Linked DNA regions of Cricetulus griseus. The protein of the gene in region 1 interacts with the protein of each later gene in a pairwise test. Links are inferred from orthologs where the notes say so. Each region holds a gene or a part of one and is shown in the gene's direction. Other genes may lie near its edges.

What was found.
Region 2: the proteins of Mid2 (region 1) and Znf24 interact in binary tests that used the Homo sapiens proteins (3 or more experiments, as listed by UniProt). The two-hybrid records come from large-scale screens. The link is inferred for Cricetulus griseus from reciprocal best matches to the Homo sapiens genes MID2 and ZNF24.
Region 3: the proteins of Mid2 (region 1) and Iqcn interact in binary tests that used the Homo sapiens proteins (3 or more experiments, as listed by UniProt). The two-hybrid records come from large-scale screens. The link is inferred for Cricetulus griseus from reciprocal best matches to the Homo sapiens genes MID2 and IQCN.
Region 4: the proteins of Mid2 (region 1) and Enkd1 interact in binary tests that used the Homo sapiens proteins (3 or more experiments, as listed by UniProt). The link is inferred for Cricetulus griseus from reciprocal best matches to the Homo sapiens genes MID2 and ENKD1.

Annotation. Positions count from the first base shown.
Region 1 is NC_048604.1:39,661,736-39,665,836, reverse strand, and holds the start of Mid2 (probable E3 ubiquitin-protein ligase MID2), read left to right. Parts: upstream 1-1,287; 5' UTR 1,288-1,784; coding exon 1,785-1,788; intron 1,789-4,101. UniProt on the Homo sapiens protein: E3 ubiquitin ligase that plays a role in microtubule stabilization. Mediates the 'Lys-48'-linked polyubiquitination of LRRK2 to drive its localization to microtubules and its proteasomal degradation in neurons.
Region 2 is NC_048595.1:213,157,242-213,160,758, forward strand, and holds part of Znf24 (zinc finger protein 24), read left to right. Parts: 5' UTR 1-61; coding exon 62-481; intron 482-1,175; coding exon 1,176-1,320; intron 1,321-3,064; coding exon 3,065-3,517. UniProt on the Homo sapiens protein: Transcription factor required for myelination of differentiated oligodendrocytes. Required for the conversion of oligodendrocytes from the premyelinating to the myelinating state.
Region 3 is NW_023276806.1:248,292,488-248,296,004, reverse strand, and holds part of Iqcn (IQ domain-containing protein N), read left to right. Parts: coding exon 1-435; intron 436-3,517. UniProt on the Homo sapiens protein: Essential for spermiogenesis and fertilization. May be required for manchette assembly in elongating spermatids.
Region 4 is NC_048596.1:181,985,781-181,988,453, reverse strand, and holds the end of Enkd1 (enkurin domain-containing protein 1), read left to right. Parts: intron 1-1,060; coding exon 1,061-1,186; intron 1,187-1,301; coding exon 1,302-1,465; intron 1,466-1,563; coding exon 1,564-1,700; intron 1,701-1,791; coding exon 1,792-1,952; 3' UTR 1,953-2,160; downstream 2,161-2,673. Other genes in the region: Pard6a (partitioning defective 6 homolog alpha), read right to left, coding at 2,463-2,673. UniProt on the Homo sapiens protein: Microtubule-binding protein which regulates microtubule organization and stability. Promotes the stability of astral microtubules and facilitates the proper orientation of the mitotic spindle.

The DNA of each region.
Region 1 (4,101 bases):
CCTCTTTGTATATTCTAGATATTAAGCCTTTATCACGTATGGTTTTCAAATATTTTCGCCCATTCCCAACTGTGTTGATTGTGCATTCTATTGTGTAGGTGTTAGGTGCTATGTAGTCTCATATGTCATTTGCTTTTGTTGTCTGTGTTTTGGGTATGACGCATTAACTTTAAGATCTCTCAGCCCTGTACTTCCCTTAAGGTAGCATGGTTGGGTTTTTCCCCTTCATTTCCACTCCATAGTTCTCTAGCACACTGTTTAACAGTGCTGTTGGGTGACTGCTATTGGTTCCCTGACAAGACACACCCAGCAACCTTCATTTTTTTTCTGGATTTGTTCCCAAGCACAGTAATAGGAGGCTCATGTGATTGCTTTCCTCTTCTCTCTTTTTGAGTGGAGTTTAAAGCAGTATCCTCTGGGGCAGCTTCCTTCTCTCATCCACCTTAAGAGGGGCAGTGGTCTTTGAGTCAATAGTAAATAGGCTGACTCCAGACCAATGGGAGGCTCCTGGGTTCCAAATGGACCAATCTTCTTAATAGGGACCTAGCATTCTTGGATGACTAGCTTCTGCCTCTTTGACCTTCTGTTAATGACCATCTTGTCTTGTTTGTCAAGTGTCTGAAGGTGCAAAAGAAACCTTTACTCCCCCATACACTTTCAGTGGCTTTAATCCACCCGAACAACTTGTGGCCAAGGCCAATAGAACACAGCCACTCTCCCTTTGTAAAAAGAGAAAGGGGTTGGGTTTCCTTCAATTGTCTGTCCTTCTCTATCTCTTCCATGCCTCTCTAGTTTTACTCTCTAGTTAACTTTGCATAGTACAATAGTACAGCTTCATCAGGAGGACCTGTGCGGAGGTTCCAGGCAGACTCTTCTCATTGGCGGGTGCCTTTTCCTTGCTAATCTGGGGGTTTGTGGAGGTAGTGGGTGGTGGGTGGGAGAAGAGTTTGGCCATAGTCTTCCCTCTGCACTTCACACACACTACCCGCTCGCAGACGCACGCATACTACACACACACACACACACACACACACACACACACACACACACACACACACACACACACACACACACACACGCCTGCTCAGACCCCTTTTCCCTGTGTCTTCCATCAAGATGACAGGGCGCTGGAGAAAAGGCTGCTGGAATCAGCTGGTAGGTACAGTAGTAATCTGAACCCCACCCACCCGCTGCCTTTGCTTGCTCAGGTTTCTCCGGTCACTCCTGCCGGGGGAGAAAACATGTAAGCGCGCCTCCAGAGGAGGGGCACGGGGAGCTGGGAGTGGCGGGGGCGGAGGAAGGTGAGCCTAGGAAGGTGGCCCAGCGCCCCTTCTGCGCGGGCCCCTCCCAGTGCTCCCTTGGGGGTGTCAGCTTCGGCTCCGCTTGCCCCCACTCCACCCTCCTTTCGAAGGGATTGCTTTTTTTTTTTTCCTCTGCGGCGGCGGAAATGACAGTGTGGTGCTGCGGTGGTGTCATGGTGCTGCCTCTGGACTGAGAGGCGAAAACTCTCAAGTTTCGCCCGGGAGACCCAGACGCGGGAACGTCGCGGTCTCCGTGCTGTCCCCTGTGGGGCGCGCGGGCTGGCGGATCCCGGCTGCTGCGCGGCGGTGGCGGCGGCGGCCGCAGCGGCGAAGGCAGGCGGCGGCCTAGAGTGGTGGTGGCGGCGGCGGCAGCGACAGCGGCCCGGGAGCTCGCACGGGAGCCCAAGCCAGCTTGCTGCGGAGGCCAGCGAGCGGCCGACGCTCCCAGGCGCGTGTAGGACATGGCTGGCACCCGAGAACAATATGGGTAAAAAAATGCGTCCCCTCGTCGCGGCCCTTGGGTGGGTGGGGGGGTCGAGTGTCGCCGCCCGCGCAGGGCTCGGCCCCGGCTCCGGTTGCTCTTCAGGTGCCAGCGTTGGCCGAGGATACCCGGGCTCGGCGGGAAGGGGAGGGGGGGAGACAGGGTCCGCGAGGCTCCAGGCGGCAGTAGCGGGGCCCGCGGTGTCTGTCACACTGTGGTGACCCGGGTTCCTGCCACTGCCCTCGTGCGAAGGAGTTTGCACTCCTGGATCCCAGGCGGGGAACGGCCCGAGGCCTCCCGCTTGGCCAGGCCCAGCCGGGAGAAAGCAGTGGAGCGGCTCTCCTGGCGCCCAGGCGCAAGTCTGGGAAAGGGCGCAGCCGCCTTCCCACGCTCCCGCAATCCACGGCGTCCTCGGCCCGGGCGGCGCCCCGTGGTCGGCGGTTTGCTCAGCGGTGCTGGCGCAGCAGCCTGTGATGCTGCGGACACCCAGCCGGCGGGAACCCGGGAGAAACTTAATCCCCCCTTTTCGCTGGAGGAAGCAAGGGATCCTCAAGTCTCTGTCTGGGTGGTTCCTTATTTCTGGCCTAGCTGTGAAAGCAGCGCCGTGGGGGGGGGGGGGAGAAGGAAAACTTGAGGGTGTCCACAGGACACACTGCTACTGAAGCAGGAACATTTGAGGCTTTTCCCATTTCGGGCTCGTAAGAATTAAGTAACGGCAGGCAGATTTACTGTAACACTACTGGCCATGAGCTGGCTTAGGTTATTTCGCACTTCACGTGCAGCACATTATTTATTTATTTAGTTTGGAGGCATTTCTATTTCGAGCAGGCAATTAGGATCCTGAGATGATGGGACTCCTCACTTTCCACTCTCTTGGCACTCCTTATGCACTGACACTAGTATGCCTCTTATTCCTGCCTCACAACATTTGTCCACCCACGTCTCTCCCCAGAGTCCCCGCACTCTCGGCTTTTCTCTACCAACCTGTGCACATCATCCAGCAACGCACCTTCTTGCTTTTCAATCACTTTGCTTTTTTTCTTTTTTGGAAGATTTTGTAGGGTGGGGCCGGTGAATGGCAGTTGTGTGTCTCCGAGGGGGAGTATTTATGAAGGAAAACCCTGGAAATTGTAATAATAGACAACTGTTGTGTGGGGATTAATTAATCCGATTTTCAAATTGGACCATAAGGGCTGACTTTAATTCGATTCTACTTCCTCTCCGAAATCGAATCAACTCTGACAGAATTCCAACAGGAGAAGGGGTTGCCAAATAGAGAGTTTATATTTCTCACTTCTGCTTATGGAGCCTCTGCTATACCCTGGCTTAGCACCTCACCACACACACACACCTTTTTACCTCCCCACTCATCACTGCCCTGAGGGAGAGTCAGTTTTTGTTATTTTTATATATTCCTGCTCAATTAACTTAATACAGACTCATAATGTGAATTAAATTTCTCTTGATTGTTCCTTACAAAACTTGATTCATGTGGTTGAAACACAAGTCTTGGAGCCAAGATCAGAGAGTCCATTGCAAATGTGATGTTGCATTGGCTTTATGGCCTTTAGACATTTGTATGACCTTTCTTTGACAGTTGCTGCCCTTGCATAAAAGGCATAATATTATGCACTGGGTATTGTGAGTATTGGCTTGGTCCTTTGAAGATAAAAGGATTCTATAAACCTCAGCATTATATTTTTCAATGAAAGCACTTCATTTATCCTTTATTGGGTTACTGGGTTGACTGGGTATAAATGGGAACACTAATTTACAGAAACCTTAATTTGCCATTATTAGTCCCCCTGGGATCCAAATCATTATTGTAATTTAGATCTTAAGTCAATTTGTTTCACCAAATGTATGTGTAGCTGAATGGAAACATACACAATTAGACATAGAAAGTAATGGTGATGATTTTAAGTCGAGTCATAAATCATATTGATTGCACTCTAACCTAACAATCTGAGTCAGACTCATTTGAATACACAACCTCACCCATTTTTAGCTAACATGGGGGCAGTTACTTAATGCCCAATAAAAAGTGGCATAGTTTTAGGTCTGGCTAGCCAAGCATGATTAGCACCTTGCAGCAGTGAGTCAATATTTTTTTAAAGAACCTTTAATATACAGAGGCCTCTGCTGATTGTGTTGAGGCCCTAGACTTGTCTCAGTATTTTGGGTTCATATTTGTGTTATGCTGAACTCTGCTTCCATCTCCAAGGCTAGGATGGGGCGGGGGAGTGTAATGTGTGGAGTAGAAAGAGCGGTTATGGACCATGAAGGGCTCTCTCTCTTCTATTTACTTTCATAACTACT
Region 2 (3,517 bases), on another chromosome or scaffold:
TATTTCTCTGGGTGAGGTCTATATCCTGCCTTGACTGCCTTTCTTGAAGTATTGTGACAGGATGTCTGCACAATCGGTGGAAGAAGATTCAGTACTTATCATCCCAAATCCAGATGAAGAAGAAAAAATTCTGAGAGTGAAACTAGAGGAGGATCCTGATGGTGAAGAGGGGTCAAGCATTTCCTGGAATCATCTCCCTGACCCAGAAGTTTTCCGACAGCGGTTCAGGCAGTTTGGATACCAGGATTCACCAGGTCCCCGAGAGGCTGTGAGCCAGCTCCGTGAACTTTGCCGCTTGTGGCTCAGACCAGAGACACACACGAAGGAACAGATACTGGAGCTGGTAGTGTTGGAGCAGTTTGTTGCCATCTTACCCAAGGAGCTACAGACTTGGGTTCGAGAACATCACCCAGAGAATGGAGAGGAGGCAGTGACCGTTCTAGAGGACTTGGAGAGTGAACTGGATGATCCTGGACAGCCGGTGAGCATGCTTGCCTCATTTTGCCCAAATCAGAAACACTAACATAGCAGTTGGGCAAACTGCTGGATTAACTTCACTTGACTAAGTTAAAATTATGTCTATGCCTCCTTCCTTGTCAATCTGCAATATCTGTGCTGCTCTGCAGTTGGAATTGTCTTTGGGCCACCAACCAACTCCCAAATGAAGACACAGAGACTTATTATGAATGCTCGGCCTTGGCTTAGGCTCGTCCCACTAGCTCTTTTAACTTAACATGTTTCTATTCATCTACATTTTGCCTCGGAGCTTTTTACCTTTCTTTCATTCTATATGTCCTACTTGCCTGCTTCCTCCATGGCTGGCTGGCTGGCCCCTGGTGTTTCCCTGTTGCCTTCTTTTCTTTCTTCTGTGAGCCTAAATCCCTCCTCCTACTTACTCTCCCTGCCCAGAAGTTCCACCTGGACCTCCTTCCTCGCTCTTGGCCATTCAGCTCTTTATTAGACTAATCAGGTGCCATACATAGTCAGGCAAGGTAAAACAGCAACACATCTTTACATAGTTAAACAAATATTCTGCAACACGATGCAACACATTAAACAAATATTCCACAACACTGCTTTGCTATCTAGGACTTTGTAGTATATTTTTTGTGGCTTCTTTTATGTGTGCTTAGTATCAAAATTCCTTCTCAACCAAACTAAAATCTTGTTTTCAGGTTTCTCTCCGTCGCCGAAAACGGGAAGTGCTTGTAGAGGAGATATCTCAAGAAGATGCTCAGGGATTACCAAGTTCTGAGCTTGATGCTGTAGAGAATCAGCTCAAGTGGGCATCCTGGGAACTCCACTCTCTGAGGCACTGTGGTGAGGACCAGAACACCATGTGGCTTTTGTCCAAAGTGCTTTGCTTGTTCTATTGGCAAAACACTTTTAAGCTGCTCTTTAGAAATAGCTGTACTGTGAAGAGCTTGACTTTACTGATGATAGACTCACTGGCCTCAGGTGGTTTTACTCCTAGACATTAACATCTTTAGGTTTTCTTTCAGCCTTCTTTCATGAAGACTACCCATATTGTGGCTCACATTTGCCTTATTTTGAGCCAGTGCCTGTAAGACCATGTCTGTTTTGTACATGGTACTGCTTATCTGTTATCTGTTTTATGCTGTTTTGATTTTAGTTCCGTGCCTAACCATATTAATATGGTAAACTTATTTGAAGTCTCCCCCTTTTTATTTGTTTTGTTACTAAAGTCTTCCTAAAATTCCAGCTATTTCTGTTTTTTTACTTCAATATTTTACCTAGTCTTTTTTTTTTTAATTAAGAAACCTCCCCCCCCTTTTAATTTTTTTAGTTTATGTGTATGGGTATTTTGCCTTCATGTGTGACTGTGTAGCATGTACATGCTGGGTGTCCTTGGAAGTCAGAAGATGTTTCTTTAACACGGATCTTTTAATTTATTGTATATTGAACTTTTAAGTGTCATGACTTTTGTTTGTTTATTCTGTTGTTTTGAGACTTGGTCTCATTCTGTGGGCCTGACTAGTCTGAAACTGGCCTTGAAGTCCCAGACATTTGCCTTCCTCTGGCTCCTTTAAGTGCTGGAGTTAATGGAGTCTGCCACCACACCCAGTCCTTGGCTTGTTTCTTAATCAGGACTCATGGTTTCTGTTTTGATTCTAGTATTGGCTGTGACACGATGACTTATTTCAGCAATAACTATTGTTTGACAGATTTTTTTTATACATTCATTTTGATATTTCTTAAAAACCGTTTCTTAATGGCCATTATTTTTCTTCCCAAAGTTTCAGACCTAGCCTGTATCAGTTTGGTTTTTTCCCCTTTATTTTATAATCTATTTGTCACCCTTTTGACTATTTTAAGAAATAGTCAATTTTAATAAAAATAGTATATTGGATTTTTAAAATTTTTTTTTATTGCATGTATGTATGTATATGTGGTGTATATGTATGCTACTTGTTCAATTGCCCAAAGAGGTCAGAAAAGGAAGTCGGACCCCCCCCCCTCCAGACCTGGAGTTGTGATGTTTGTGAGCCTCCCAGTGGGGGTGCTGGGAACTAAGTTTGGGTCCTCTGAAGGATCATGTGCTCTTCATGGCTGGGTGGTGGCACACACCTTTAATCCCAGCATTCGGGAGATTTGGGAGACAGAGGTATGTGGATCTCTGAGTTTGAGGTCATCTTGGTCTACAGAATCAGTTTCAGGACAGCCAGGGATACACAGAGAAACCCTGTCTTGAAAACCAAGAAAAAAATTAAGTAAAAACCTTCTGTGTCATTTTGCTGTCATGTCATTAGCTCATTGATCTCATATCTCCCCGCCCCCTTTTTTTCTTTTTGAGAAGTGTCAAATTTATATATTCATAGATATATACAGTTTTGGTTTTGTTTGTTTTATTTTGTATTTAGTTCATGAAAACCTTTTTTTGTCAGGTGTGGTGGTGCACACTTTTAATCCCAGCATTTGGGAGGCAGAGGTAGGCAGATCTCTGTGAATTCAAGGCCAACCTAGTCTACATAGCAAGTTTTAGGCAAGTTCTTTCCTCTACAAATAGGAACTGAGTGATATTTACATTTTCTCTGTATTTCAGATGATGATGCTAGGACAGAGAATGGAGCACTGGCTCCCAAGCAGGAGATTGCTTCAGCTGTAGAATCTCATGAAGTTCCTGGTACTCTTAATATAGGTGTTCCTCAAATTTTTAAATATGGAGAAACCTGTTTACCCAAGGGCAGATTTGAAAGAAAGAGAAATCCTTCTCGAAAGAAACAGCACATATGTGACGAATGTGGAAAGCACTTCAGCCAGGGCTCAGCCCTTATTCTTCATCAGAGAATCCACAGTGGGGAGAAGCCTTATGGATGCGTTGAGTGTGGAAAAGCCTTCAGCAGAAGTTCCATCCTCGTGCAGCACCAGCGAGTCCACACTGGAGAAAAACCTTACAAGTGTCTTGAGTGTGGGAAAGCCTTTAGCCAGAATTCTGGGCTCATTAATCATCAGCGAATCCACACTGGGGAGAAACCATATGAATGTGTTCAGTGTG
Region 3 (3,517 bases), on another chromosome or scaffold:
CTGTCCCGGGAAGTCTTGGGCCCCTCTGTGGTCAAGGCCCTGCCTCAAGGCATGCTGGGAATGGCATTGATGAAGGCACTGTCATGGGGTGAGCTGGGCATCTACCTGTCCCGAGCCCTGTCCCGTGGTGAGCTGCGTCCAGAACTCAGCAAGGCCACACAGGGCAAGCTGGCTGAGGTCCTGTGCAAGGCCTTGACAGAAGATGAGAGGGCCACGCTCAGCCAGGCGCTGTGCCAGGGAGAGCTGGGTGCTGTTTTCACTCAGTCCTTGGCCCAGATGGCCCAGAGGACAGGCGCCTTCCTCCCCAAAGCCACCTCGAAAACGGTGGGAAGCCGGATGACCACGGCGCCTACCCCAATGGAGGTGACTTGCAGCGGGAGCCTGTCGCTGGCATGGGGACCTGCACTGGGCCCCGTAAGAGCACGGTGTAGCAAGGTCAGGCCACCATGGAAGGGCTTGCCCGATGGGATCCTGTGGGGGAAAGGGGATGGGGACACCTTGGAGGGGTCACCCTGCTTGCCACAGTCCCCCATAGGCTCCTTTTCTGGAGGGATGGTCACCAGCACTTACAAGTGTCCCCTAATCACAGTACCCACACTGTCCTGGGAGAGGGGTACAGGACTCTGTTCTGGTCTGTATCTGAGACCATTGGATCTTGACCCCATGGCATGTGGTGAGGGTCCCCATGTCCCCAAGAGACCTTCCCAACAGCCATGTCCTTGTCCGTGGCAGCCACTTGTCACCAATGGTGCAGGCCCAAGCAGTAACCAGCCACCAGTGACTAGTAGCACAGCCCCAAGCTCCCACCAGCCACCAGTGGCCAGCAGGGTGTCCTACCCCTGGGCGTCATACCGAGAGGGCAACATGGCAGCCAGAAAGCATTCAAGTGGCATGGGTGGGGGGAGGTACCCCATGTCCCGGCAGTCCTCCAACCCCTGCCAGGGCCATGTGTGTCAGTGTGGGAAGCTGGGGGTACACAAGATGTCTCCCTGTTGCCATTGCTCTTCCATAATCAAGAGTCTCAGCCCATCGCCCAAGCAGACAATTAGGCAGATCCTACCATCGGGTCACAGACTGGTATCACCGCTGGGTGATAAGGAAATGGTCACCGTAGTGAGGGACATTATAGATGAACAGCGTGACGACAAGTCATCACCAATGTACCTAACTCCCAAGTTGCAAAAAGGTTCCCTCATGTCCACCCCAAAACAGGAGAGACGTCCCCAAGTGTCCTTGTCCCCATCCTGTCCCTGGGGTCAGGCCACTGGCCGCCACATGTCCCTTCTGGATGAGTTACTAGCCACATTCCCACAGCACCCACAGATCGTGTTAGCCAAGCGCTATCCCAGGGGTTCAGATACCCACTGCCAGAGCAGCGCTGGTTCTCACAGTTCCCTGCAGAGTGGCACCTCAGCCTGTCTCTCCACACGATCCAGCCTGACGCCTTCAGAGGCTCTGGGAGGTTGCAAGGACTTGCAGGAGGACTCCCAGCCAGTGTTGAAAGAGTCCAGGAAGACAAGGCACAGGCCGCAGGGGCAGCTGGGAACACAATGGTCGGCTGGTTCTCAGAGCACAGACCCCCAGGTCCAACAGCCGCCCCTGGAGCTTGACTCCGTCTTCTTTCATAGCACCAGCCTGTCTGTGAATGTCCACTGGGACTCAGATAGTGCAGATAGTGGGTCTGACTACAGCGCTGGGAACCCCATGCAGGGACTGTCCGAGGACACGGCTGCACCCTGGCATGGGAGGAGTCAGGCCCACGCTGGAGACCTGCAGCCAAATGGGGTCACTCAGCTGGATTCTGCCCTACCTCAGGACGTATTGGCTGATGAGGGAGCCCCAAGCCCTGGCCAGGCACCTGAAACCAGTGAGGAACCACCATGCCCACACCAACCATTAGAGGACAAGGGACTGTGTCCAAGCTCATCTCAGCCGGCAGGGACCAGTTCTGAGTCGCCAAGCCTGGCCCAGCCATCCATGGACAGTGGGGTGGCCCCAAGCCTGCCCCATCCATCTGTGGCCACTAGGGTGCTCCCAACTTTAGCCCAGCCATCCATGGACACCAGGATGTCCCCAACACTGACAGAAACATTGATGTATTATAGGTTACCTACAGATTTTAGTCAGCCATATCTGTACTATGGAGGGTCCCCAGTCTATACCCAGCCACATATTGCTTCTGGGGATCCCTCAAACTTTACCCAGAATCCTGGTGCTAGTGTGTTGGCCTTAAGCAACCAGGCAGTGAACACGGGGTTAACTTCTAGCCAGGTCCAGCCATGTGCCACTACCCATGTAGCCCCTGTGAACAGCTGGCCGCCACCTGGCTGCTCTTCCATGCCCACACAGGGTTCAGGGCACCCAGACTCAGTTCAGACATCTGTAGCCACCGGGGCGTCCCCTAACTTTTTCCAACCATTTGTACCCTACAGCATGGCATCAAATTTCACCCAACCTTGCATGGCTACACTTGTAACCCCAAACTTTGTGCAGCCGTCTGTGCCCCCCAGCGTGTCTCCAAGCCTAGCCCAGCCTTTTGTGGTAGGTGTTATGTCCCCAACCCTGGCCCATGCATCTATGGCTAACGGGACATCCCCAAACCTCAGCCAGCCAACCACAACCAGCACTGTGGTCCCTGGAGTGCTCCAGGCGCCCCTGTCCCTGTCCAACAGGGTGCCCCCCAGTCTGACCTCCCCACTTCTGGCTCCCAGGGTATGCTCTAATCTTGCCCAGCCATCTGTGGCCACCTTGGGAGCTCTGAGCTTGTTGCCACCCACTGTGGTGTGTGGTGTGGGGCGAGGCATCAGCAAGCCAGCTTTGGGCCCTCAGCAGCTTGCTGAGGACAGCAGTACATCTTCACACTATCGGCAGAGCCAGCCCTCCATGCTCACCCTAGGTGGGTCCTGCCCAGATGTGATGAGCAGGACAGGCCAGCCATCTCTAGGAGTCTGCGGCAGCCCAGGGGACAAATTCATGATAGGTACCGGGACCCAGTCCAGCCCTCGGGATCCCACTGTCCACTCTGAGCCAAAACAGGTCAGCAGGGGGCCCCCAGGTCCTGTGGCTCAGTCCATGGCACCTGCAGAGGATGGCGGCCTGGTCTTAGGGGCCAGTGTCCCATGTCAGAATTGGTTCAGGGGCGTAGTTCCAGGGACACCCCAGGGGCCTGTGGCTACTGGACTGTTCCTAAGCATGTGTCAGGGGCCTAACCCAACCCCCATGGCTGCCTGGACCTTACCAGCAGATGTCCCCTGGACTCAAGAACAGGCTGTTGTGACTACAGGTGTAGGCCAGGGCCCATGCCCAGCTGTGATACCCAGTATACAGGTCCCATCTGAGTTCTTTCCAAACCAGCTGGGCACCAGCATCCCTCAGACCTATGCCCCTCTTCCTGTTACATTAGAGCCCCAGCTCCTCTCTGTGGCCACCATGGTCCCACCCAGTTGCCGATATGCAGGTATGGTCATTCCAGGTGCAGCAGTGGGTTCTGTGGGTAGAGGTTTGGTTCAGGGTTCTA
Region 4 (2,673 bases), on another chromosome or scaffold:
GTTATAGGTTTGGACCACCACTTCCAGCTCACTCCTTTCTGAGGCTGTAGCTTGCTGCTTAGCCTCAGGCTGTCCTTGAATTCTCTGTATAACCTAGACTGGCCTCAAATTTTTGCCCCTTCTACTGAAGCCTCCTGAGTCCTGGGACTATAAACATGTACCACCATTCCTTGAAACGTTTCTGAGGACAGAGAGGAAGATTAGTTACCATTTCTCTATTCAGGAACCCAGAAAGACACAGAGGACTGAGAGAAAAGACAAGGTCACATGAGATTGTATTTAGACTGAAGCATGTGTGGGACTGCCAGGGGGTAGGACTGTGTCCAGGAAGCAGATGGATACATAGCTCTAGATCTCATCAGTAAGACCAGAGTGTCATTGACAATTAAATTGAGGACAGTGGGTCTAAGGAAGCAGCCCTTGGTTTTGAGGACTTGGGGGCAACCCTCATTAACTTTGGGGTGCTAGATCCAGAAAGCATGGTTAAAAGGAGAAAAGAAGCTTGGTGGTGGTGGCCTTGTGCCTTTAATCCCAGCAGGGAAGCAGAGGCAGTTAGATCTTTTTAAATTCAAGACAGAGCAACTTCCAGGACAGCCAGGGCTATACAGAGAAACCCTGTCCTGAAAACCCAAAAGTAAATAAATAGAATGAATGAGTGAAAATGGAGGAAAGGATGGTAGACAAATGAGGATGAATGTATATAGCAAAGTAGTTTGTTTTCTTTTTGTTGGTTGGTTGGTTTTTCGAGATGGGGTTTCTCTGTGGCTTTGGAGGTTGTCCTGGAACTAGCTCTTGTAGACCAGGCTGGTCTCGAACTCAGAGATCTGCCTGCCTCTGCCTCCCGAGTGCTGGGATTAAAGGTATGCGCCACCACTGCCCGGCTGGTAGTTAGTGTTCTTAAAGCTTTAAGAGACAAGCATATTTGAATGTTGTTGAGAGATCTTCCTTCAAGGAGGAGGCCCATAGGGATGATCACAGAAAGGTACTTAGAGGCTAAGGAGGGACAGAAAGGACCCTGTCTTCAGACTTCCTGATTCCTCTGCTCTGCCCCACCTTCCAGGAGCCTGGCCCTGCCTCTGTAACAGAGCCTTCCCACTTCCTGCGGGCACACTCCCGCTGTGGCCCTGGGCTCCCACCATCCCGTGTCTCCAGTCCTCAGCTCACCCTGCCAGGTCCCAAAGCTAAGGTGAGAGGTTCTGTGGGGACTAGAAAGGCTATTAGCTGGCCTTTCTTGGGAGTGGGGTACAGAGAACCAACACAGTGCTCCAGGGTCCCCACCATGCTTGCCATGTCCCTTGCAGGGACCAGGCCTGGATGTGGATTTCATTAGTCACAATGCCCGAGCTGCCAAGAGAGCCCCCCGGCGCCATTCACGTTCACTGCAGGTCCTTGCACAGGTTCTGGAACAACAGCGACAAGCCCAGGAGCACTACAATGCCACACAGAAAGGCCATGTGCCCCGTTAGTAGGTTACATGGGCCTGCAAGTATGGTTATGGACCTTTGTGGGGGGTGGGAAACTGTCTGTCTTGGTGTCATCAACCCTGGGCCTGTGCATTTATAGCTTGTTGGAGCGCAGGGATCTGTGGCGGAGGGAAGCTGAAGCTCGCCAGCATAACCAGCCAGATCCTGCCATGCCCCCTGGCCACACACTCATGCCTGAGAATCAGCGGCTAGAGACACTGAACAATCTGCTCCAGAGTGAGTACTTGGGCAAGGGTGGCTGAAAGGGAGCCCAAGGGGCACCATGCACCCCTACCCAGCATTCACTGTTTTCCATGCTCCCTTGTAGGTCAGAGTCAGCTGCTGCGTGAATTAGTTCTGCTACCTGCTGGGGCAGACTCTCTAAGAGCCCAGGGCCACCGTGCTGAACTGGACCAGAAGTTGGTGCAAATAGAAGAGGCTATCAAGATCTTTTCCCGACCCAAAGTCTTTGTGAAGATGGATACCTAAGCCCTGTCTTTGTGGGTAGAATGATAGGGAGATCCACAGTGAGGATTGCTACATGGCTACAAAGTGCAGACTCAAGCCCTGTCACAGTTCCAAAGACAGGAACATTGGGGTGGGCAGTCTCTCTAAAGCACTTCCTAGTCATCAGTAGCTGTAGAAGGACCACCCAGCCTTCCAACTCCTATGTCAAAATTAAACCTTTTGTACACAACAGCTGTTTCCATAGGATCTTTCTTAGAAATGCCAAGTTCAGTGGCTTCCTGCTGCATACTTAGAGGAAGGTCTCTCAAGTGCTGGTATTATCCCTCCTGCCTCATGTCCACAGAGGCCTGACTCACAGGGTCAGGGAAGAGGTTAGGGCTGGGACACAGAACAACCATATCTACATTTGTAGAAAATCTTTAATGTTCTCTATTGAGAGGGCTCTGTGAACAAGCTTATCTTCCCTCCCCAACTGGAAAGTCTATGCCACGTTCCAGCAGCCTAAAGGGTCAAGGGCTGCATCTTTGACTGTTAGAGGCTGAATCCACTAACATCACCTCGTATGTCATTCCCCCAGTCAGAGTTGGCTTGCTCTTGGCTATCCAAGGAGGGCAGAGAGCTGCCAGCACCAGGAAGTAGGCAGCCAGGTTGCAGGTCCCAGCACATGGGTCCCTGAGACAGCCCATTAGAACAAGGAGGGTGGCGGTTTTCAATGACCACGTCACTGCTGTCATCGTCACTG